4 linked regions of the Saccharomyces cerevisiae S288C genome follow. The gene in region 1 interacts genetically with each later gene. Each region holds a gene or a part of one and is shown on either strand. Other genes may lie near its edges. The genes, in order: ACO1, MRS3, SOD1 and OXP1.

Region 1 (6,653 bases):
TCCACTCAAAACATAAGAAAAAATTTGACCTTAGGAAATAAGATTATAACTAAAGACGTAACTGATTTTCTTGATATGGCTACCGCGTTGTTAATTCTTGGCAATGGTGCACCAGCGTCATTGATATATGATATTGTGCACATCCCGTTCGAAGTCTTCACCTCTGCATCTTTAAAGATTGCTACAAACGTATGGTTAACAATCATAACTGAGAAGCCCGAAGTTGCACATTTGCTTTTAGTTGAAGTATGCTATTGCTGGATGCGCTCCATTGATGACAATATTGGTCTCTATTCTCGCGATCATGACTTAAAGGGCGAAGAATACCAAAAAATGGAATATTCCCCTTACGACAAAGCAGGTATCAACAGAGATGCAAAAAATGCATCCCAAGCTATGCAACCACATCTTCATGTTATTAAATTTTTTGCTTCCCATTTCGAGGGCACACTATTTCAAAGTGACTTTTTATTGAAAATTTTCACGAAATGTGCGCTTTATGGTATCAAGAATCTGTATAAGGCTTCACTACACCCGTTCGCTAGAATGATTCGCCACGAATTATTGTTATTCGCGACTCTCGTACTAAACGCAAGTTATAAGCAGGGATCCAAGTATATGGGCCGTTTGTCGCAAGAAATCACAAACGGTGCCCTAAGTTGGTTTAAAAGACCAGTAGCGTGGCCATTCGGCTCAAATGAGCTGAAAATCAAAGCAGATTTATCTGTTACTAGGGACCTTTTCCTTCAGCTCAACAAATTAAGCTCGCTAATGTCACGTCATTGCGGGAAAGATTACAAGATCCTGAACTATTTCTTGGCAAGCGAAATCCAGCAGATTCAAACCTGGCTTACTCCGACTGAGAAGATTGAAGGAGCCGACAGCAACGAGCTTACAAGCGATATCGTTGAAGCTACCTTTGCTAAAGATCCAACATTAGCAATAAATCTCTTACAACGATGTTATAGCAAGAAAGCTGAGGATGTTTTAGTGGGCTTAGTTGCAAAACATGCTTTAATGTGTGTGGGGTCCCCAAGTGCTCTTGACCTGTTCATAAAAGGAAGCCACCTGAGCAGTAAGAAAGACCTACACGCAACCTTATACTGGGCGCCAGTGAGCCCGTTAAAATCTATCAACCTTTTCCTTCCCGAATGGCAAGGTAATTCTTTTATCTTACAATTCAGCATATATTCGTTGGAATCACAAGATGTGAACTTGGCATTCTTCTATGTTCCTCAAATCGTACAATGTTTGAGATACGATAAAACCGGATATGTCGAAAGATTGATTTTGGATACTGCGAAAATTAGTGTGTTATTTTCTCATCAAATAATCTGGAATATGCTTGCAAACTGCTACAAGGATGATGAAGGTATACAAGAAGATGAAATCAAACCAACTCTAGATCGTATTAGGGAGCGTATGGTTTCAAGTTTCAGCCAATCTCATCGCGATTTTTACGAACGTGAATTTGAATTCTTCGACGAAGTAACTGGCATATCTGGTAAGTTGAAACCATACATAAAAAAAAGTAAGGCTGAAAAGAAACATAAGATCGATGAAGAAATGAGCAAAATTGAGGTGAAACCTGATGTTTATTTACCTTCTAATCCTGACGGTGTAGTTATTGATATTGATCGGAAGAGTGGTAAGCCACTTCAATCTCACGCAAAGGCGCCTTTTATGGCGACCTTTAAAATAAAGAAAGACGTAAAAGATCCTTTGACAGGTAAAAACAAGGAAGTTGAAAAATGGCAAGCTGCTATCTTCAAAGTCGGTGATGACTGTAGGCAAGATGTTCTAGCGTTACAATTGATCTCGCTATTTAGAACCATTTGGTCTAGTATTGGCTTGGATGTCTACGTTTTTCCCTACAGAGTTACTGCGACGGCACCGGGTTGTGGTGTCATCGATGTGCTACCCAATTCGGTATCCCGTGATATGTTAGGACGTGAAGCTGTTAATGGATTATATGAATATTTCACTAGTAAATTTGGTAATGAATCTACTATCGAATTTCAAAACGCACGAAACAACTTTGTTAAATCCTTAGCGGGATATAGCGTAATTTCGTATTTGTTGCAATTCAAGGATAGACATAATGGTAACATTATGTACGATGATCAAGGACATTGTCTACATATCGATTTTGGGTTTATTTTTGATATTGTCCCAGGTGGTATCAAGTTTGAAGCAGTACCATTCAAGCTGACGAAAGAAATGGTTAAAGTGATGGGAGGTTCGCCCCAGACCCCAGCGTATCTGGACTTTGAAGAACTTTGTATCAAGGCATATCTAGCCGCCCGTCCGCACGTGGAGGCCATAATTGAGTGTGTAAATCCTATGTTAGGAAGCGGTCTCCCCTGCTTTAAGGGTCACAAGACAATTAGGAATCTAAGAGCAAGATTTCAACCTCAAAAAACCGATCACGAAGCTGCACTATATATGAAGGCGCTAATCCGTAAAAGTTATGAAAGTATATTCACTAAAGGTTATGATGAATTCCAAAGGCTCACAAATGGCATTCCGTACTGATATACTTCGCACTTTACATATGCTTATATAAAAATACCAGTTTCCCATCGTCAATTACGCAGACGTAGCCTTCGTTTATTTTCTCTCTTTTTGTATATCATTGTATTAATCATAATCCATTGTATTTTACTTTGTCTTATCTGGCTTTAATGAATGACGCCGGTCACACGCGGGTGCCTGATTCTCGATTGTGCCAAGCCATTTGGGCACGGTGTCAAATTACCTAAAAAATGGCCGAGAGCCGCAAAAGGGAGGTCCGCGGGGCCGGGCAATACCCTTTGTTTTTCGAGCATTTCGGCGCCGAAATCGGCAAAGGTCCTGACCAATCAATAGAGAAATTAGTGCATACGAGAAAAATTTGAACCCTTCAGTTGTTCTCCGCAGGCGACTTTAACCATCAAACCTCCAATCGCTGCCGGTTTTCGGAAAGGCAAGCACAAAAAGGGAGGACAAGGAAAATCTTTTGTTATATATATAATCTTCCGGTTTTAGAGGTTAATTAGGAGGAGTATGTTGCTTAATTCCGTTGTCCCTTGTTCTGTTCACTCTTTCTTAGTTATTACATAGTAGAACGAAGGTAATAAATACTACCATTATTACTATAGATATACAATGCTGTCTGCACGTTCTGCCATCAAGAGACCCATTGTTCGTGGTCTTGCGACAGTCTCCAACTTGACTAGAGATTCAAAAGTCAACCAAAACTTATTAGAAGATCATTCTTTTATTAACTACAAGCAGAATGTGGAAACGCTGGATATCGTAAGAAAAAGATTAAACAGGCCATTTACCTACGCGGAAAAGATTTTGTACGGTCACTTGGATGACCCTCATGGTCAAGATATTCAGAGAGGTGTTTCATACCTAAAATTAAGACCAGATCGTGTTGCCTGTCAAGATGCTACTGCTCAAATGGCTATTTTACAATTTATGTCCGCTGGTTTACCACAGGTTGCTAAGCCAGTCACTGTCCACTGTGACCATTTGATTCAAGCACAAGTTGGTGGTGAAAAAGATTTGAAGAGAGCTATAGATCTAAACAAGGAAGTTTATGATTTCTTGGCCTCTGCCACTGCGAAATATAACATGGGTTTCTGGAAGCCAGGTTCCGGTATCATTCACCAAATTGTTCTGGAAAACTACGCTTTCCCAGGTGCTTTGATCATTGGTACTGACTCCCATACACCAAATGCTGGTGGTTTAGGTCAATTGGCTATTGGTGTTGGTGGTGCTGATGCCGTTGATGTTATGGCAGGTCGTCCATGGGAATTGAAGGCTCCAAAGATCTTAGGTGTTAAGTTGACTGGTAAGATGAACGGTTGGACTTCTCCAAAGGATATTATTTTGAAATTGGCTGGTATCACAACTGTCAAAGGTGGTACTGGTAAAATTGTTGAATATTTCGGTGATGGTGTTGACACCTTCTCCGCTACTGGTATGGGTACCATTTGTAATATGGGTGCTGAAATCGGTGCTACCACATCTGTTTTCCCATTCAACAAATCTATGATTGAATATTTGGAAGCAACTGGTCGTGGTAAGATCGCTGACTTTGCTAAATTATACCACAAGGACCTATTATCTGCTGATAAGGATGCTGAATACGATGAGGTCGTCGAAATTGACTTGAACACTCTGGAACCATACATCAATGGGCCATTTACCCCCGATTTGGCTACTCCAGTTTCTAAGATGAAGGAAGTTGCTGTTGCTAATAACTGGCCATTGGATGTCAGAGTCGGTTTGATCGGTTCTTGTACCAATTCCTCTTATGAAGATATGTCTCGTTCAGCATCCATTGTCAAGGATGCTGCTGCTCATGGTTTGAAATCCAAGACCATTTTCACTGTTACTCCAGGTTCTGAACAAATCAGAGCCACTATTGAACGTGATGGCCAATTAGAAACCTTCAAAGAATTTGGTGGTATCGTTTTGGCAAACGCCTGTGGCCCATGTATTGGTCAATGGGATCGTAGAGATATCAAGAAAGGTGACAAGAATACTATCGTTTCCTCTTACAACAGAAATTTCACTTCTAGAAATGATGGTAACCCACAAACTCATGCTTTTGTTGCATCTCCAGAATTAGTAACTGCGTTCGCCATTGCGGGTGATTTGAGATTCAACCCTCTAACAGACAAATTAAAGGACAAGGATGGTAATGAGTTCATGTTGAAACCACCACATGGTGATGGTTTGCCTCAAAGAGGTTATGATGCTGGTGAGAACACTTACCAAGCTCCACCTGCAGACCGTAGCACCGTTGAAGTTAAAGTTTCTCCAACTTCAGACCGTCTACAACTGTTGAAACCATTCAAACCTTGGGATGGTAAGGATGCTAAAGACATGCCAATCTTGATTAAGGCCGTCGGTAAGACAACTACTGATCATATTTCTATGGCTGGTCCATGGTTGAAATACAGAGGTCATTTAGAAAACATTTCTAATAACTATATGATTGGTGCTATTAATGCTGAAAACAAGAAGGCTAACTGTGTTAAAAATGTATATACTGGTGAATACAAAGGTGTTCCAGACACTGCTAGAGATTACAGAGACCAAGGTATCAAGTGGGTTGTTATTGGTGATGAAAACTTTGGTGAAGGTTCCTCTCGTGAACACGCTGCTTTGGAACCAAGATTCTTGGGCGGTTTCGCTATCATCACAAAGTCTTTCGCTCGTATCCATGAAACTAACTTGAAAAAACAAGGTCTATTGCCATTGAACTTCAAGAACCCAGCTGACTATGACAAGATCAACCCTGATGACAGAATCGATATTCTGGGTCTAGCTGAATTGGCTCCAGGTAAGCCTGTAACAATGAGAGTTCATCCAAAGAATGGTAAGCCATGGGATGCTGTGTTGACCCATACTTTCAACGATGAGCAAATTGAATGGTTCAAATATGGTTCTGCCTTAAATAAAATTAAGGCCGATGAGAAGAAATAATGAAAACATTGTTATAATCTTTTAAAGGTTATTATTTATTTTGTCTTCTGTACACCGTACCCTTGTTTATCTTTTCTGCCTTAAATTTAATGACGTTCGGCTGGAGAAGTCAAGACTATGAAATATATCTCGTAATTTATGATCGTATATTATTTATTTATTGATTGTTTTATTGTTTATTTATTTATTTAAGTACCCCTATTGTACGTACATAAAAAAGCAAAACTTTTATATTATATTGTTGCTGATTATGTACTCAGTTTAACGAGGATTAAAAAAAAAAAAAAATTAAGTAATAAGTGCACCGTCTGTCAGACGGTCGAATTTAAAAATAAATGGTCTCTAGCGGGATCGAACCGCTGATCCCCGCGTTATTAGCACGGTGCCTTAACCAACTGGGCCAAGAGACCAAACTTTGTTGAATGTTGAGCAAGTTAACATCTTATAGGACATATTAAACTATGACGACATTGTTGCAAATAAAACACTATTGATTGCTTAAAAGGGCAATCCGACTATATCTGAGACGAACAAAGACACTGTTGGAATAAAAATCCACTATTGTCTATCAACTAATACTTATACTATCAATATATTATAATAGACGGCGTTAGATGATGACATAAGTTATGAGAAGATGTCATCGAGGTTAGAGGAAGCTGAAGTGCAAGGATTGATAATGTAGTAAGAATGTGAATATATCACATAGAATCACCAATTCCATTTTATGGATTCCTATACCACGAGGAGAACTAGTATGTCCTGGCTATCTAATATTATGGCCTCTAGCAGCAACGAAATGCCAACAATTAAATCCAAGTTCACCTATTCTGACTTTTATATTTAATAACTAACATTTTTATCAACGATGGAATTCCAACAGCTTTACTAATCTTTACTTGTAATTTGGCTTTTTAGATCTATAATATTTATTGTATGGAAAGTAGCATCCAACCAAATCCCGCGAAGTTTTCCTGATTTACATAACAAGCAAATACTAAAAACGTTAACACACATGTGCTTCTTTATTGTAAAGAAACCTCCATCATCCTCTTTTGTAACTTGGTCCTACAATAAATTTATCCAGTGTGACAGCTTTATAGGAGGCGTAAAGTAGTCTCATGAAGTAGATGAGTCTTGTTCACCATATTTTTCTTCTCGACTGCGAA
Region 2 (5,081 bases), on another chromosome or scaffold:
CATTAGGAAAAGAGCCAGGACTCTCTCTAACCCCAATGACTTTCAAGAGCCTAATTACTTGCTGGATCCCGGTAATCATCCCTCAGATCATTTTCGAACTCGAATGTCCAAATTTCGGTTTAATATTAGAGAGAAGCTGTTAGTGTTTACCAACAATCAATCATTCACATTAAGCCGCTGGCAAAAGAAGTACCGTTCTGCGTTTAATGATCTCTACTTTACTTATACTTCCTTAATGGGATCGCATACCTTCTATGTTCTGTGTTTACCTATGCCCGTGTGGTTTGGATATTTTGAAACAACAAAAGATATGGTTTATATCTTGGGATATTCTATCTACTTGAGTGGTTTTTTTAAAGATTACTGGTGCTTGCCCAGGCCTAGAGCACCTCCATTACATCGAATTACGTTAAGTGAATATACAACGAAGGAATATGGTGCTCCAAGCTCCCATACAGCAAATGCAACAGGAGTGAGTCTCTTGTTTCTCTACAACATCTGGAGGATGCAAGAATCTTCTGTCATGGTCCAACTATTGTTGTCATGTGTGGTTTTATTTTATTATATGACTTTGGTTTTCGGTAGAATATACTGTGGGATGCATGGCATATTAGATTTAGTAAGCGGTGGGCTCATTGGAATAGTGTGTTTCATTGTTAGGATGTATTTCAAGTACAGGTTTCCGGGTTTACGCATTGAGGAGCATTGGTGGTTTCCTTTGTTTAGTGTGGGATGGGGTCTTCTTCTTTTGTTTAAACATGTTAAGCCCGTAGACGAATGTCCTTGCTTCCAAGATAGTGTTGCGTTCATGGGCGTTGTGTCAGGTATTGAATGCTGTGATTGGTTGGGCAAAGTGTTTGGAGTCACCCTGGTGTACAATTTGGAACCTAACTGTGGCTGGCGGTTAACCTTAGCCAGGCTGCTGGTGGGCCTACCGTGCGTTGTTATCTGGAAGTACGTGATCAGCAAACCGATGATCTACACGTTATTGATCAAAGTTTTCCATCTGAAGGATGACAGAAACGTTGCGGCAAGAAAAAGACTGGAGGCCACGCACAAAGAAGGTGCAAGCAAGTACGAATGTCCATTATATATTGGAGAGCCCAAGATTGACATTCTAGGTAGATTTATTATCTATGCTGGCGTTCCATTCACCGTTGTAATGTGCAGCCCCGTCCTATTTTCCCTCTTAAATATAGCATAAAACAAAAGGAACAAAAAAAAAAAAATAGACAAAATGTAGTGTAAATGTATCCGTTTCTAAATTAAGTACTTATAAAAAAATATGTAACTGAAAAAGTCATGTTGTATAAAAATTTGAGGCACCGTACCAGGACCCCAAAAGAAGAATAGGTTAAAGTCATCATCATTAATAAACCAGGAAAGAAAAGAGCATAATTAAGATACGCCTACAACTTTGGCGCGTGAGCCAAGTGTCTTCTGGTAGCTAGTGAGGCACTCAAGGGACCATATGTCTTGGCATTTTCTCTATATTCCTTAAAAGAGTTGAACGAGTTGCCCGGAGATCTCTTGAAAATAGTGCTGGCCATGGCGCTAGCGGCTATCCTTGAGACACCCGCGGAGGCGGCTGAAGAAGAGACGGCGGCGGCTAATCTGGTACTTTGGGCGATCATTTAATACGTTTATTTACTGTCTTATGAATGTAATATTTAAACTTGTGCGTAATCATTAAAACAAAGGTGAAAAATCACATTAAACATCTCCCTACATTACTTTCGGTTTATTCTTTTATATGTGTGAAACTTTCTCTCTGCACCAGGAAGTGGTCATGCTTGATGCTCGGCTCCCACCGGAAAAACTAACTTGCGGGCGGGAAATTGATCCCTGAAGTCATGCCCCTCACCTTCATTCGTGGATCTTATCTCCAGAGCAACCAAATGTGGAAATGGCATGACACCCCCCCACACACGTTCCGCCCACTTTTTTTCAAATGTGTGACACACCCATACCCCATAATGTTGCACGTGACAGGTTTGTATCACGTGCTTCTTAGGGTTTTGTTTTAGGTCTGAGACATTTTAGGGTTTTTTTTCATCAAGTCTAGATCGTTTGTAACGAACGATTGCTCCTTTTTTCTTTTTTTTTTGCTTTTTTTTTATACTCACCGTTTACTGTCATTATGTCTCTCGAGAAACTGGGCGTGTGTGCTAACCAAGACTGGATCACCTTTACATAGCACTTATTGCATTTCTTGGTGTTTCGTACCCTACAATTGACAAAAGTAATTTTGTCGTTCATTTCTTCATCGATTCTTTCCTCTTTCAACAACTTCCTTATTTTATCTTGGGATCGTAACTTCACTTAATTAATCACGATTCCCATATTCGTTAACACCTCTTAAGGTTTGCTGTAAATATATTTATGTTATAAAAAAAGAAGATATTATGGTAGAAAACTCGTCGAGTAATAATTCAACAAGGCCAATTCCAGCAATACCTATGGATCTACCCGATTATGAGGCGCTCCCCACCCACGCGCCATTGTACCATCAACTTATAGCGGGTGCATTTGCTGGTATAATGGAACATTCAGTGATGTTCCCGATAGATGCCCTTAAGACGCGAATACAATCAGCCAACGCGAAATCGCTGTCTGCCAAGAATATGCTTTCGCAAATATCTCACATCTCTACTTCCGAAGGAACTCTAGCCCTATGGAAGGGTGTTCAGTCTGTCATACTAGGTGCGGGACCTGCGCATGCAGTGTATTTTGGTACGTATGAGTTCTGCAAAAAAAATCTTATCGATTCGAGTGATACGCAAACGCACCATCCTTTTAAGACAGCTATCAGTGGTGCCTGTGCCACCACGGCATCTGACGCATTAATGAACCCATTCGACACAATAAAACAGAGAATCCAACTCAATACCTCGGCATCAGTATGGCAAACCACAAAGCAGATTTACCAATCTGAAGGTTTGGCAGCATTTTATTATTCTTACCCAACCACCCTAGTAATGAACATCCCATTTGCAGCATTTAATTTCGTCATATATGAATCATCCACAAAATTTTTAAACCCATCAAATGAGTACAACCCCCTCATACATTGTCTGTGTGGCAGTATCAGCGGATCGACATGTGCGGCGATCACAACACCTTTAGACTGCATAAAGACAGTACTGCAGATAAGGGGCAGTCAAACAGTTTCGTTGGAAATTATGAGAAAGGCGGATACTTTTAGTAAAGCAGCCAGTGCCATATATCAAGTTTATGGCTGGAAAGGGTTTTGGAGAGGTTGGAAACCAAGGATAGTGGCAAACATGCCGGCTACTGCTATATCATGGACAGCTTATGAATGTGCAAAACATTTCCTAATGACGTATTAGTTGGTTCTTACATGTCATATTATTTTCCATTCATTTTGCATCTCAGAAGATTATGTGTATATTATCATTTTCCTGTTGTGACTTTATGTACATTTATATATACAAATTTAATTTGATAATCCCAAAGCTTGAGCTCTTTCCCTCAACGAAAAGTTTTCATTTTTTCTTCATTACTTTATATATCTATGTTTAGTATACCCAAAGGGTATTTCGGACGCAGGCAAGCTGCCATTATTTATAGCGGAAACTCTAAGAGTGGTAAATCTATTTCTAAAAAAAAAAAAGATTCATTCAAGCGCCCTCCTTGGTTAGTTAGTTAGAAACATGTATTCAGAGGGAATTAAATAAAGATGAGTATAATTAGTTCTTGGTTACTTGTCTCTATTATTTGCTTAACTACTTCTATTGTAACAAAATTGCAAGCTGCTGGAGTTACTACCCATCTATTTTATTTAACAAGAGGTGCTCCCTTAAGTTTAAAGGAAAACTATTATCCTTGGTTGAAAGCTGGTTCTTTCTTTCCGGATGCTTTGTACTCATGTGCACCTTCAAATAAGGATTGGTCTGATTTTGCAGAATTCACTCATTGGCCCAATTTCTTAATGATTGCAGTATCTTATTGGCAGCAAAAGTATGGTCAGAACGATCGACTTCGGGGAACTCACGGCTCACTCGCACTAAAGTCATTTTTAATAGGGGTATTCACTCATCAGATAGTTGATGTTTCCTGGCATTCGTTAGTTACCGATTATAGAATGCACGGACTACTCCGAGTTCTCAGCGAAACAGAATTTGATGGAGATATTGAAACTGCTCATACGTTTTTAGACGTTATGGGTGAATTCCTCACCTTAAATAATGTAATCCGTGACAGTAATAATAACGAAAATTGGGATTTTTTAACTCGCTCTGATTGGAAATTGCCCAGAGAAGAGGATTTAATGGAAATTATAAGGAACGCTGGACTTTCAAAGGAAAAGTTGTCCTACGCAGAACTGGAATTTTGCGTTAAAAGAGGAATGGCAGCGGCTATTAGTGAAGGGTACCTATTCCGCTCTCAAAGAAACCAATTGTTAACTAATATTTACTCAACATCCCCCAGGGCTAATGATCTAATACTGAATCATTGGCTAGGAGGGCAGTCCAATTTGGTTGCAATGCTCCAAAGATGCGTGCCTTTCTTCGAGACTTTGTTTCATGACGAGAATACTAATGAAGCTCAAGCAGAAGAACTGAGATTATGTGCTAATTTACCGCCAGTATCACAAAAACGGATAAATGCACGACCTTTGGTCTCTTCATTAAAAGCACGTAAGGGAAATAGCCACATTGTCGTATCTCCCATGAAATCATTTTCCGATTTTGGCACAAGCCTGACTATGGGAAAATTTCGAGAAGACAACAAGGATTATCTCGCTGTAAGTGCACCACTTGAAGACACAGTTGGTGCAATCTATATAGTTCCATGGGATATTCTAACTGTAGCAAGAAAAGAGGATTTTAGCATTTTACAACCCATCACTGCCATGTACGGTTCAAAGGTCGGGACATACAAGGCAAGTGATGTTGACTACCTACTCGTTTCACAGCCTGGTACCTGTACAATCGACTTTTACTTCAAAGGAGTAAAAATACTGACAATCAAGGATGAGACCACCGAAGAAGCACATCAGTTACAATTTGCTGTAACAGGTAATTTTTATGATGATAAGATTCCTGATTTGGTGGTGT
Region 3 (4,508 bases), on another chromosome or scaffold:
TTTAGCGTCCTCTACAGGGATGCTACTGAAAACCCTCGGCCTAAAGGTTACTTCCATCAAGATTGACCCATATATGAATATTGACGCCGGGACGATGTCTCCCTTGGAACATGGTGAGTGTTTTGTACTTGATGATGGTGGGGAAACGGACTTGGATCTCGGTAATTACGAGCGGTACCTCGGTATTACCTTAAGCAGGGACCACAACATCACCACCGGTAAGATATACTCCCACGTAATTTCCAGAGAAAGGAGAGGTGATTATTTAGGTAAGACAGTTCAAATTGTTCCTCATTTGACTAACGCAATTCAGGATTGGATTCAACGTGTTTCAAAAATTCCAGTGGATGACACAGGATTAGAACCAGACGTCTGTATCATCGAGTTAGGTGGTACGGTCGGTGACATTGAGAGTGCGCCCTTCGTGGAAGCATTACGACAATTTCAGTTCGAAGTTGGAAGAGAGAATTTCGCCCTGATCCATGTTTCACTTGTGCCCGTCATTCATGGTGAACAGAAGACGAAACCCACCCAAGCAGCAATCAAAGATTTAAGGTCATTAGGGCTTATTCCCGATATGATTGCCTGCAGATGCAGCGAAGAACTTAACAGGAGCACTATTGACAAGATTGCCATGTTTTGCCATGTGGGGCCGGAGCAAGTGGTCAACGTTCATGATGTTAACTCCACGTACCACGTTCCCTTATTGCTGCTAAAGCAACATATGATCGACTACCTCCATTCAAGGTTGAAATTAGGTGAAGTGCCTCTAACCTTGGAAGACAAGGAAAGAGGGTCTCAATTATTGACTAACTGGGAAAACATGACCAAAAACCTAGATGATTCTGATGATGTTGTCAAGATTGCTCTTGTGGGAAAATACACTAATTTGAAGGATTCCTACCTATCTGTGACCAAATCCTTAGAACACGCAAGCATGAAGTGCCGTCGTCAGCTAGAAATCCTCTGGGTAGAGGCAAGTAACCTAGAGCCCGAAACTCAAGAGGTGGACAAGAACAAGTTCCACGATTCATGGAATAAGCTCAGTTCCGCCGACGGAATTTTGGTTCCTGGTGGATTTGGCACGAGAGGTATTGAAGGTATGATTCTTGCTGCCAAATGGGCCCGTGAATCCGGTGTTCCCTTTCTTGGTGTCTGTCTTGGATTACAAGTTGCCGCTATCGAGTTCGCCCGCAATGTGATAGGCCGCCCAAACAGCAGTTCTACAGAATTTTTGGACGAGACACTACTAGCTCCTGAAGACCAAGTAGTCATATACATGCCCGAGATCGACAAGGAACACATGGGTGGCACGATGAGATTGGGTTTGAGGCCTACCATTTTCCAACCGAACTCAGAATGGAGCAACATAAGGAAGCTTTATGGTGAAGTTAATGAGGTGCATGAGAGACATCGTCATCGCTATGAGATAAACCCGAAAATAGTGAATGATATGGAGTCTCGTGGCTTTATTTTTGTTGGTAAGGACGAGACGGGCCAGCGTTGCGAAATATTCGAATTGAAAGGCCATCCATACTACGTGGGCACTCAATACCATCCAGAGTATACATCGAAGGTGCTGGAACCATCAAGACCGTTTTGGGGGCTTGTGGCCGCAGCCTCCGGCACACTTGGTGAAGTGATCAAGGACATAAATCTAAGCGAGGGAAATGAAAATGAATGAATTGATGCGCTTACTACTTACTTACATACGGTTTTTATTCAAGTATATTATCATTAACATTAGTTGGTTAGACCAATGACACCACAGGCTGGTCTTGGACCGGCATTACCAGTCTTCAAAGATTCTTCAGTGTCACCCTTACCTAAGTCATCTTGGCCGGCGTGGATAACGACGCTTCTGCCTACAACGGAGGTAGGACCGATAAGCTTGATCAAAGAGTCCTTGAAGGAGCCCTTGGCCACACCATTTTCGTCCGTCTTTACGTTACCCATGTCACCGACATGTCTGACTTCGTCAGTTGGAGCACCATGTGTCTTCTTGAAAGGATTGAAGTGAGGACCAGCAGAGACACAACCATTGGTGGCATCTCCAAACTCATGAATGTGGAACCCACGTTCTGCGTTAGGACTGTTACCAGCGATCTCGTAAGAGACAGTGGTTGGCTCGGATTCGGAAGCCTGTTCGAACTTGACAACACCAGAGACACCGGCATCACCCTTTAACACTGCGACTGCTTGAACCATTATAAATTAATTATGTTTTATTTGTTTGCGCGATTGCTTTCTTGCCTGTTTTTCCGCAACATAGTTACAGCTAAACATTTGCCCAAAACCATCTTCTTATATATATATCTGCGATGGCGAGCCCAGCGGAAGGGATGTCCGCTTACTAATTCCGACACACCGGTTTAACCCCCCGGCGTGCTGGGGTGGGTGCCCCTAAGGGAGCGGGTTCTGTACTTCCAGTAAGCGGCATTTGCGCTGTCATCGCCTTATCGAACCCGCTACTGAGATCATGTCCTGAGTGGGTGAGTCGCACGCCCAATCGGCTGCACTTCAGAGATACTTACGTCCAATTTCGCATCATGCCAATATTACCTGTGGAAGTTGAAACTTTTTTTGCAGATGCCGATAATTTTCACATGGATGAGTCGCAGTGTCGTCGTACGTGATGAGGGCAGGCTTGAAAATTATTCTTCGAGCCCAATTCTCTTTACTTATAGGCATGCCATGTCTAATTAGGTAGTCATCTCAGTTTATCTTGTGCAGGGTAGAACCAAAGATAACAGCAAAAGAAAGAGCAAGCAATTATGACCGCACCATTGGTAGTATTGGGTAACCCACTTTTAGATTTCCAAGCCGACGTCACGGCTGAATACCTGGCCAAGTATTCTCTAAAGGAAAACGACGCAATTTTGGTCGATGCCAAATCAGGCGATGCTAAGATGGCTATTTTTGACGAGCTCTTACAGATGCCAGAAACAAAGCTTGTTGCAGGTGGTGCTGCTCAAAACACTGCTAGAGGGGCAGCATACGTTTTGGGCGCCGGCCAGGTGGTGTACTTCGGTTCCGTCGGTAAGGACAAGTTCAGCGAGAGATTGCTTAACGAAAACGAAAAAGCTGGTGTCAAGTCTATGTACCAAGTTCAAAATGATATTGGTACCGGTAAGTGTGCCGCATTAATCACTGGCCATAACCGGTCCTTGGTCACTGACTTGGGTGCTGCCAATTTCTTTACTCCAGACCACTTGGACAAGCATTGGGACTTGGTCGAAGCAGCTAAGCTCTTCTACATCGGTGGTTTCCACTTGACCGTGTCTCCAGACGCTATCGTTAAGTTGGGCCAACATGCTAAAGAGAACAGCAAACCTTTCGTGTTGAACTTTAGTGCTCCTTTCATTCCTCATGTCTTCAAAGACGCATTGGCCAGAGTTTTGCCTTATGCTACCGTCATCATCGCTAACGAATCGGAGGCCGAAGCCTTTTGCGACGCCTTCCAATTAGACTGTGCCAACACTGATTTGGAAGCTATTGCTCAAAGAATTGTCAAGGACTCTCCAGTTGAAAAGACTGTCATCTTCACCCACGGTGTCGAACCAACAGTGGTCGTGTCCTCCAAGGGTACCAGCACATATCCAGTCAAACCTTTGGACTCTTCTAAGATCGTCGACACCAACGGTGCTGGTGACGCCTTCGCTGGTGGCTTTATGGCTGGGTTGACTAAAGGTGAAGATTTGGAAACCTCTATTGACATGGGTCAATGGCTAGCTGCTTTGTCTATTCAAGAAGTTGGTCCCTCTTACCCTTCCGAAAAAATATCTTACTCTAAATAGATTCTTCTTACAATATAATAGAAATAAAATATACTCTACGTGTTCCCTCTAGCTTTTCATTCGTAGACATGTTTACCGCTTGTTCTTAAACCAAATAAGCCACCGTTACCACAATAAGGAAAAGAGGCGCTATAAAGTACAGCTTCAAGAAAAAAGGACAAGCAGCGCTAAGAACAAAATACTCGTTCATCCTCTCCACATACGGCCGTACACAAGCAACAATAACACAATAATATGGACTGGGCAATCAATGTCGCCCATCCACGATTACTTTACAAGGATCCTAAACTTTCAGTAACGTTTATTGTGCCGAGCTTATTTCATATCATTATTGCTTTCGTGTTATTAGGAATATGTGCATCCGATTTTCTTTGCCCCAACGTGGCCCATATATCAGATCCCAACAGCCTTCGATCGAATGGTTCTTTAGTCTCAAAAACGGCGTCCCATGCATCTCATACTGGGGCATTAATGGCAGTTCTACTATCTTGGTGTAACTCTTCGCCTGACCTATTTTCCAACTTAATGAGCTGGGCAACCTCTACGAGAGAAACAAGGTCAACCTCAGTATCGCTATCAATTGGTGAGGTGCTTGGCGCTTGCGGCATTATCCTGTGCATTGTAGAGGGCTCCATTTTTATTATTATGTCAAGAACTCACATTGAAATCTCGCAAATTCAAAAACTATCCATCATGAGAGACTTGTTATTT
Region 4 (8,090 bases), on another chromosome or scaffold:
CTTGGATTACACAGTTTGGACTACTAGACGTTTCAAATAGATATACACAATTACTCAAAAAAAAATTGAACTTCCGTACCAAACATGACAGCCAGTTTAACTACCAAGTTCTTGAACAATACCTATGAAAACCCATTTATGAATGCATCCGGTGTTCATTGCATGACTACACAAGAATTAGATGAATTAGCAAACTCTAAAGCTGGCGCATTCATTACAAAGAGTGCTACAACCTTAGAAAGAGAAGGTAACCCTGAACCACGTTACATTTCTGTCCCTCTAGGCAGTATCAACTCCATGGGTTTACCAAACGAAGGTATCGACTACTATTTGTCCTATGTATTAAACCGTCAAAAGAATTATCCTGATGCACCTGCTATTTTCTTCTCAGTTGCTGGTATGAGCATTGATGAAAATTTAAATTTGTTGAGGAAAATCCAAGATAGCGAATTCAACGGTATTACCGAGTTAAACTTGTCTTGTCCTAATGTGCCTGGGAAACCACAAGTTGCTTATGACTTTGACTTGACAAAGGAAACCTTGGAAAAGGTTTTTGCCTTTTTCAAAAAACCTCTTGGTGTCAAGTTGCCTCCTTATTTTGATTTTGCCCATTTTGATATCATGGCAAAAATATTGAACGAGTTCCCATTAGCTTATGTCAACTCTATCAATAGTATAGGAAATGGTCTTTTCATTGATGTGGAGAAGGAGAGTGTAGTAGTGAAGCCAAAGAATGGTTTCGGGGGTATTGGAGGTGAATATGTTAAGCCAACCGCGCTCGCCAATGTTCGTGCATTTTACACTCGTTTGAGACCTGAAATCAAAGTTATCGGTACAGGTGGAATTAAGTCCGGTAAGGATGCATTTGAACATCTTCTATGTGGTGCCTCTATGCTACAGATTGGTACAGAATTACAAAAAGAGGGCGTCAAGATTTTTGAACGTATCGAAAAAGAATTAAAAGACATAATGGAAGCTAAGGGTTATACATCCATAGATCAGTTCCGTGGGAAGTTGAACAGCATTTAATTATCGGAATTTGAAGAACTATGATGGGACAAGTTATGGAAGAGTGTTAAGATTCGTATGAATATTTTATTATTTTGAAATTGCATAAATCAAGGATAGTTGGTAAATGCTAATTCCTTAATTTTTCGGTGAGTGCATTCGCAATTGGCATCATACATTAGGGTTCAATGTGCTTTAATAGATGATGATACTAAATACTTATACTTTGAAATAACTTAATCAATGTAAATTATTGTCTTGATTCATTTATACTTAAATTTTTATATCTCAACATATGATATATCCTTACATTAAGACTTATTCAAGAAACATTTTTCAACGATAATTATTAGTAGGCTAAAAATGGCATAGGAACCAGAAAATAATGTTGAAGAAATGAAGCCATCTGTTTAATATTTGGGGAAAAAAGTGAAGAAATTAACGAATATGTGCATATATATATATATATATATATATATATATATTGCACAGGTGATTTTGATGTAGAATGTAGCCTTTTCGAAAGAGTAATTTGGTTTTATCTACAGAGTTCCGAAACATTGTTAAGTGCCTGTTCTTATATAATTAAACTGTACTTTCTGTAAAAGTCAATTTGTGGCTGGCGCATCCACGGTATACCAATGGTTCCGTGTAATTCGATATTGACTAAGAACCAAAAAGAAATGCTTTAATCCTTGTATTGTCCAAATCCCCCACCACCAGGGGTTTTAATGATGAATCGATCACCGGGTTGAGCGTAAATCGTATTTTTACCGCCGACATTGATTAATGCGCCTGTGCTATGTCTTACCCATAAATTCTCACCTCTACTACCGTCTTGTCCTCCCTTTATACCATGAGGGCCAATGACACGACGTTCTGATAATATAGATGCTGTTACAGCCTTCCGAAATTGAACATCCCTTACTACGCCATTTCCGCCAGTATATTTACCTTTGCCTCCTGAACCTCTTCTGATCGAGAACTCTTTCAACAGAACGGGGTATCTCCTTTCAAATACCTCAGTATCTGTCATTCTTGTATTGGTCATATTCGTGTGTACAGCGTCTGAGCCATTCCAACCACTTCCTCTCCATGAATCTGCACCAGCCCCCGAGCCGCCACATATGGTTTCATAATATCCAAAGCCTTTGATCTGCTTATCGGTTTTGTTACCAGAATTTCCTCCAGTTCCAAATGTAAAGTTGTTACAGTCACCTTGAGAATCTGCCATGACGTTAAATGTTTTTAAGATTACATCTGTCACTCTTTGGGAAGTTAATACATTGCCTCCGACAACAGCAGCACCGGATCGGGGGCTCAAGAGGGAACCAGCAGGAATTTTTATTGTTAAGGGTTTTAAACAACCTTGATTTAAAGGAATATCTTCGCCTACTAGACACCGTAGACAATAAAGAATCGCAGAATTAGTAATAGCCTCTGGTGCATTTAAATTACCATAAACTTGGGGAGAAGTGCCATCGAAATTAAAAATATACTCCTCTTTTTCAGGTCTTATGATAACTTGTAGTTTAATTAAGCTTCCATCATCTAAGCGATCTTCGCCAGAAAACTTCGTTGTGCCAAAATGTTCAACCATTTTTGCAAGCATTTTTTTTATGGATTCAGATGCATTTGTCTGAATTGCAGCCATGTATTTCAATATTGTAGCCAGATCATATTCCTTAGTTAATGACCCAATTAACTGTATCCCTTTTGTGTTAGCTGCGACTTGCGCTTTTAAATCGCTTATGTTATCACTAAATCTTCTTGAACCTGAGCAGCCTGGGTATTTGCCTGGATCTTCTACGAAAAGCTTGTAAATTAATTCTTCCTGGAAAATTCCCTCTTTGACAACCAATTCGGAATAAATTGCGGTTCCTTCTTCGTACAATTCTTTGGAATTTGGAGGCACTGAACCGGGTAGAATACCTCCAATATCTGCATGATGGGCTCTTGAAGCCACATAAAATATCAATTCGCCAGTTGAAGAGAAAGAAGGAGTTATTACTGTTATGTCTGGTAAATGAGTACCACCAATATCCGGATGGTTTGTGATTAAAACATCACCAGGCTTTAATTTGCCTTCCCATAACTTCGCCTGTGCTGATATGCAGGTTGACATTGATCCTAAGTGAACAGGTACATGAGGAGCGTTAGCGACTAAGTTTCCTTTAGAGTCGAATAGTGCACATGAAAAATCTAATCTCTCTTTGACGTTAGTTGAAACAGAAGTTTTCCTCAATTGAGTACCCATCTGGAGGGCGATATCCATAAACCTATGACTGAAAATAGACAATAAGATTGGATCTATATCAAGTTCATATCCGCTTTTAGATAATGTCTTCGCAGCCTTTTGGTTGATCTTGATAAATATATGAGAGTTTAAAATTGTTGCTTGGCTGTTTGGTAAAATAATATTTGTTTGGGTACCGTCAGCCAATATGGCTGGGCCCTCGATAATTGTTCCGGCAGGAAGATCATCAATTTTGAAGACCGCAGTGTCGACCCATTTGTTGTCAAAATATGCTTTCTGGGTAAAACTAGCATCCTTTGACACGTCGGCTTTCTTGAAATGGGAAATTTCAATCAATTGCTCATCAACCGTTTTTTCTTTTCTAACGCCTGATTTCCCAATTGCTCTTATCCTTATATCATCAATTATAATTCGTTTGTCATCGAATGAGAATCCGAACTCTTTTTTATGAGCTTCAGAGAACCATTCCCTAAAATTCCATTGGTCATCATATTTTTGTAATATCATCAAACTGGTTTCAGTACCTTCATATCTGAGATTTAAATATCTTTCCAAGACTATGTCCTCCCGAGAAAACGACTGAGATAAAAGGTTTTTGATTGAATTTTTAGAAAGTTCTAAGAATCTTTTTTTCACTTTCAAGATGGTCTCTGGCTCACCCAAGATAAAAGAGCAAGGCTCTTGGTTTTCTTCAATAACATCTGCTAAGAAAATGCCATAAGCGGACAAGATAGAAGAATATCTATGAATTAAAACAGTGTCAATGCCCAATGAATCTGCAACCGCTATGGCGTGTTGCCCGCCAGCCCCGCCAAAGGAAACTAACCGATGCTGAGATACTACATGTCCTTTTGCTTCTGTAATGGCCCTCACAGGTCTTGCCATGCATTCGTTAGCTACTTTGATAAATCCATAGGCAACCTCTTCCATGGTTAGATTTGAATTCAGATCCTTATTGATGACATCTGTTAATTCTCTGAATTTCAAAGTAGTGGTTTCTAAGTCAAGTGATTCATCCTCATTGGGCCCAAAAATTTTGGGGAAGAACTCAGGAACCAAACGTCCTAAAAAGAGGTTGGCGTCTGTAATGGTCAAAGGCCCGCCCTTTCTGTAGGCTGCAGGGCCTGGATCAGCAGCTGCTGAATCAGGGCCTACTCTGAATAACCCGTTTTTCCATGACAAAATAGAACTTCCTCCAGCAGCAACAGTATGGATGTCAAGTTGAGGAGATTGTATGATGATCCCTGCGGTAACAGTTTCAAAAACATGTTCTAACCTCCCATCGCCGTACCTACTGACATCAGTAGATGTTCCTCCCATGTCAAAGCCTATTAAGGGTATGTTATTATTTTTATCATAGCATGTACTAGAATAACCTATTACGCCACCTGCAGGACCAGATAAAATAGATTTCAAACCGGAAAATTTTCCCCCATCCACTAAACCACCATCAGACTGCATGAATTGAATGTGGGTATCTTCTGCGTGGCTCAAACCTGCAGAAATGCTATTCAAGTACTTTTTAATTACCGGAGTAAGGTAGGCATCTGCGACAGAACTGTGAGCCCTCGGTAAAAATTTTATCATTGGAGAGACTTCAGATGATAATGAAACATGAGAAAACCCAATCTCCCTGGCAATATTACCAACAATTCGCTCATGGTCTGGAAAAGTGTATGAGTGTAAAAATGCTATCGCAATAGACTTGATTCCGCTAGCATAAAGCACTTTCAGAATAGATCTTACGCTTGATTCATCTGGCTTCTTTATGACCCTTACCATTTCGCCACTATTACCTTCCAGGATACCTTCTTGTTCATTAGGAGACGATTTGGTAAAATAAGGGTCTTCCGAGAAATCTTCTAAAGTAACTCTCTCATCTATTTCAACTACAGTGTCATATAATGGCACTACCTTTTTTATATTTAAGTTGAAGATATCTGGCCTGGTTTGGTCTCCAATCAGCAATGAATCCTTAAAGCCTTTCGTAGTAATGAAGGCACAACGTTCACCATTTCTTTCTAGAGCGCAGTTTGTAGCTAGGGTTGTCCCCATTCTTAAACTTCTCACATTAGAGATGTCTAGAGGAATACCGCGAGGAATTGTCTTGTGTTCAAGCACCTCCAAGAGACGTCTTATGCCTTCAAGGGGAGCATCTGGATAGTTTTTGGGATCCACCGACAAGAGCTTGATGACAGTATCATGTTCTTGTTTACCTGTACCAATATTCCCCACACAATCAGTGAAAGTTCCACCCTTATCGATGGCAATTCTTATGTTTCCTTTCTGCATTGTATACCAAGAAGTTATATTTAGGTTTTCAATGCTCAAAATTATTACTGTTTAAGTTCAGTTCTTAGTTTTTGGCATTCTTTCTTCAACACCACGTAACATTTGATCTTATCTTTCTTTTCAGTGGTAATGTTATGGCGATCGTGCTCAATCGGAAAAGCACCTGAGGCAAACAAAACAATTGTTGAAGTATTCATGCAAATAATACTGAATAGAGCGGAGTACGCTTGTTCTTAATTCCAGAGATTGGTAAAGTGTTTATCATTGCTACCCTCTAGAAATAAAAATTAATTATTTAGGTAAAAAGTAGTACTGAGGTTTCATATCTGTAGACTGATGGAGTAAAAAAACATTGAAAAGACTATAAAGAAATTATAAGTAGATACACAATTGCTTAACCTTTCATGTAAGCATCTAATTCAGCGTCAAGAGCTTCGACAGAAGTAGGAGTGTTATTCTTCTCACGGCCCTTGTTCTTTTTGGAGACTCTGTTAGGCTTTTGGCGATAATGGCTCCCTGGCCTGCCTCTTCCGTGTTCTTGAGCCGTCTGTTTGCGACGGTTGTGGGCATTCATTCTAGAATGCTTTCTCTGTGGTTGGTAAATCTCCACTTCAATTTTTGCATTATGTAACTCATGTCCATTATAACGCTCGACAATCTTTTCCAAAACTTCTGGGTCTTCAAATTCGTAAATACATGTACGATCCTCTTTATTGTCAAAAATTTTCGAAAATATTGGCGAGCCAAACTCTTTAATCATATCATCGAGGGTGTAGTCAGAAACGTCTAGTGGGATTTTGGATATTCTAATTCTCTTAGGCAAAGGAGGCTCTTCCCTCTCTCTATAAAGGCGATCTTTCGACCTTGATGCAGCATCCGAAGGCGCAAATCCCAGTCTAGGTCCTAATTCATTTCTTAAATCCCTTCTGCGGTATCTCGTTACCTTATGATTAGATGAGCTGTCTGTGTGACTATTTCCAATAATTTCGTCAAATGCTTTGTCCATTGCAAAATGCAGTATTGAATCGTCTAATGGAAAAGGTACTAGACGCTTATCGTTTCAGTTTTTTAGTCTTTTCCATCTATTTATCAGTCTGTACTCAAAATAACCTTATTGTATGTAACCTTTTTCATTTCACGATGATAATTTCTTGCCGAGTTAGACAGAAAATGACCGTGATAGTTTGTCATAATTTTCAATAGGGCAGAAAGAATTTTAAAGATTATTTGCTATCTAGACATTATGTGTTTTATATGATTGCTGTAAAAGTATTAGGAGAGATCGTCGAAAATATCCTTAAACCTTGGCACGTTCCCATAGCTCCTTTTGATGTTTGCAAGCCAAGTTACGGAGTTGGCAAATTGTCTTAATGTAGGTTCAACAGTAGCCAAATTTCCGTAAGCTACGGTTAGCCTATATGCGGCTTCTTCGCATTCTTGATACTCTTCCAATGGCCCATACTTGGTGTTGATGGCGTCAGCTACGATAGGCAAAAGTTCTAAATCAGAGTTCCCTTTCGTGACGAGAGCTGAATAGTTGAAAATTAGTGTGGAAACTGCAATAGCCAAATTCTGTGACTGTTTAGCAGATGCCTGAGAAAATTCAGTATCTATAGTCTCAAAAATTGATTTATAAACTTGATTTGATTCCAGTAATTTCACACCCCAGTTTTCATTATTGAAGCAATTTACCAAAATACGCACAGTTAACATGGTTAGAGTGATATTCTTATTGCCCAAGCCTTCTTCGATGTAATCTTTTATATCTGAAGAATAAGGTAATTTTTTTACAATCAATCGTACTATGTCGTATGCAGGAGTCTTAATTTCCCAGTTAGATCTTATAGTGTTAGCAAATGAAAGTAGCAACTCCCAGCTTTCATCTATGTCATGTAGTGCGCCACCAATTTGCGCCAGAATTTCATCATCAAAGGTCTTCTCATTTGAATTTATTTTTACTATTCCATTGAAAATAGTATCTGGGTTATAATTTTCCATGATAAGATACTGCTTGACAGGAAGAACCTTCATTACGCTCGTTTTTGAAGGTGATACTGCAGAAGATGATGCATTATCGTTGGGCTGGTCTAGCGATATGCCATTAGTGTTCTTCAGTATGAACTGTACTACTTGATCCCTATAACTCATTGGCAGTTCATAACGAGCCAAAAAATTGTCGGCTGCTGTATATGGGTTGTCGCTGACATTAATCGGCAATTTCAAGGGAGGTTTTCCATCTTCAATATCCACATCAAATACGTAGTCATACGTTTTACCCTCGAATTCTATTTTTTTGTCGTTTCCAGTAGCACCTGCACCGACAACATCACCAACCTTTTTCCATGAAGAATTTGAAAATTGATGAGCTTCTATAGTACCTTGAGGTGATTTGACTACCACAATTTGACCCTCTTTGCGCCCCGGCGATTGTAAAATTTCATAAGGTGATAGTTTAGACTCATCAAATTCTATTGTCTTGGAACTTATAGTGGATTTTTCCACTTGCGTAGATAGTTCATTTATTTCATCCTCG

What was found.
Region 2: of ACO1 (region 1) and MRS3, changing one suppresses a phenotype caused by changing the other (phenotypic suppression), as found in Saccharomyces cerevisiae (one study listed by BioGRID).
Region 3: of ACO1 (region 1) and SOD1, changing one suppresses a phenotype caused by changing the other (phenotypic suppression), as found in Saccharomyces cerevisiae (one study listed by BioGRID).
Region 4: of ACO1 (region 1) and OXP1, extra expression of one rescues a mutant of the other (dosage rescue), as found in Saccharomyces cerevisiae (one study listed by BioGRID).

The regions. Positions count from the first base shown.
Region 1 is NC_001144.5:734,043-740,695, reverse strand, and holds ACO1 (aconitate hydratase ACO1), read left to right. Parts: upstream 1-3,147; coding exon 3,148-5,484; downstream 5,485-6,653. Other genes in the region: 1-phosphatidylinositol 4-kinase STT4, read left to right, coding at 1-2,535. UniProt on the Saccharomyces cerevisiae protein: Catalyzes the isomerization of citrate to isocitrate via cis-aconitate, a step in the citric acid cycle.
Region 2 is NC_001142.9:158,214-163,294, forward strand, and holds MRS3 (Fe(2+) transporter), read left to right. Parts: upstream 1-2,405; coding exon 2,406-3,350; downstream 3,351-5,081. Other genes in the region: sphinganine kinase LCB3, read left to right, coding at 1-1,204; DPI8 (Dpi8p), read right to left, coding at 1,410-1,634; YJL132W (uncharacterized protein), read left to right, coding at 3,701-5,081. UniProt on the Saccharomyces cerevisiae protein: MRS3 suppresses a mitochondrial splice defect in the first intron of the COB gene. It may act as a carrier, exerting its suppressor activity via modulation of solute concentrations in the mitochondrion (possibly of cations).
Region 3 is NC_001142.9:620,807-625,314, forward strand, and holds SOD1 (superoxide dismutase SOD1), read right to left. Parts: upstream 2,209-4,508; coding exon 1,744-2,208; downstream 1-1,743. Other genes in the region: CTP synthase URA8, read left to right, coding at 1-1,684; ADO1 (adenosine kinase), read left to right, coding at 2,775-3,797; ECM27 (Ecm27p), read left to right, coding at 4,032-4,508. UniProt on the Saccharomyces cerevisiae protein: Destroys radicals which are normally produced within the cells and which are toxic to biological systems.
Region 4 is NC_001143.9:25,131-33,220, forward strand, and holds OXP1 (5-oxoprolinase), read right to left. Parts: upstream 5,558-8,090; coding exon 1,697-5,557; downstream 1-1,696. Other genes in the region: URA1 (dihydroorotate dehydrogenase), read left to right, coding at 85-1,029; YRA2 (Yra2p), read right to left, coding at 5,952-6,563; DOA1 (Doa1p), read right to left, coding at 6,830-8,090. UniProt on the Saccharomyces cerevisiae protein: Catalyzes the cleavage of 5-oxo-L-proline to form L-glutamate coupled to the hydrolysis of ATP to ADP and inorganic phosphate.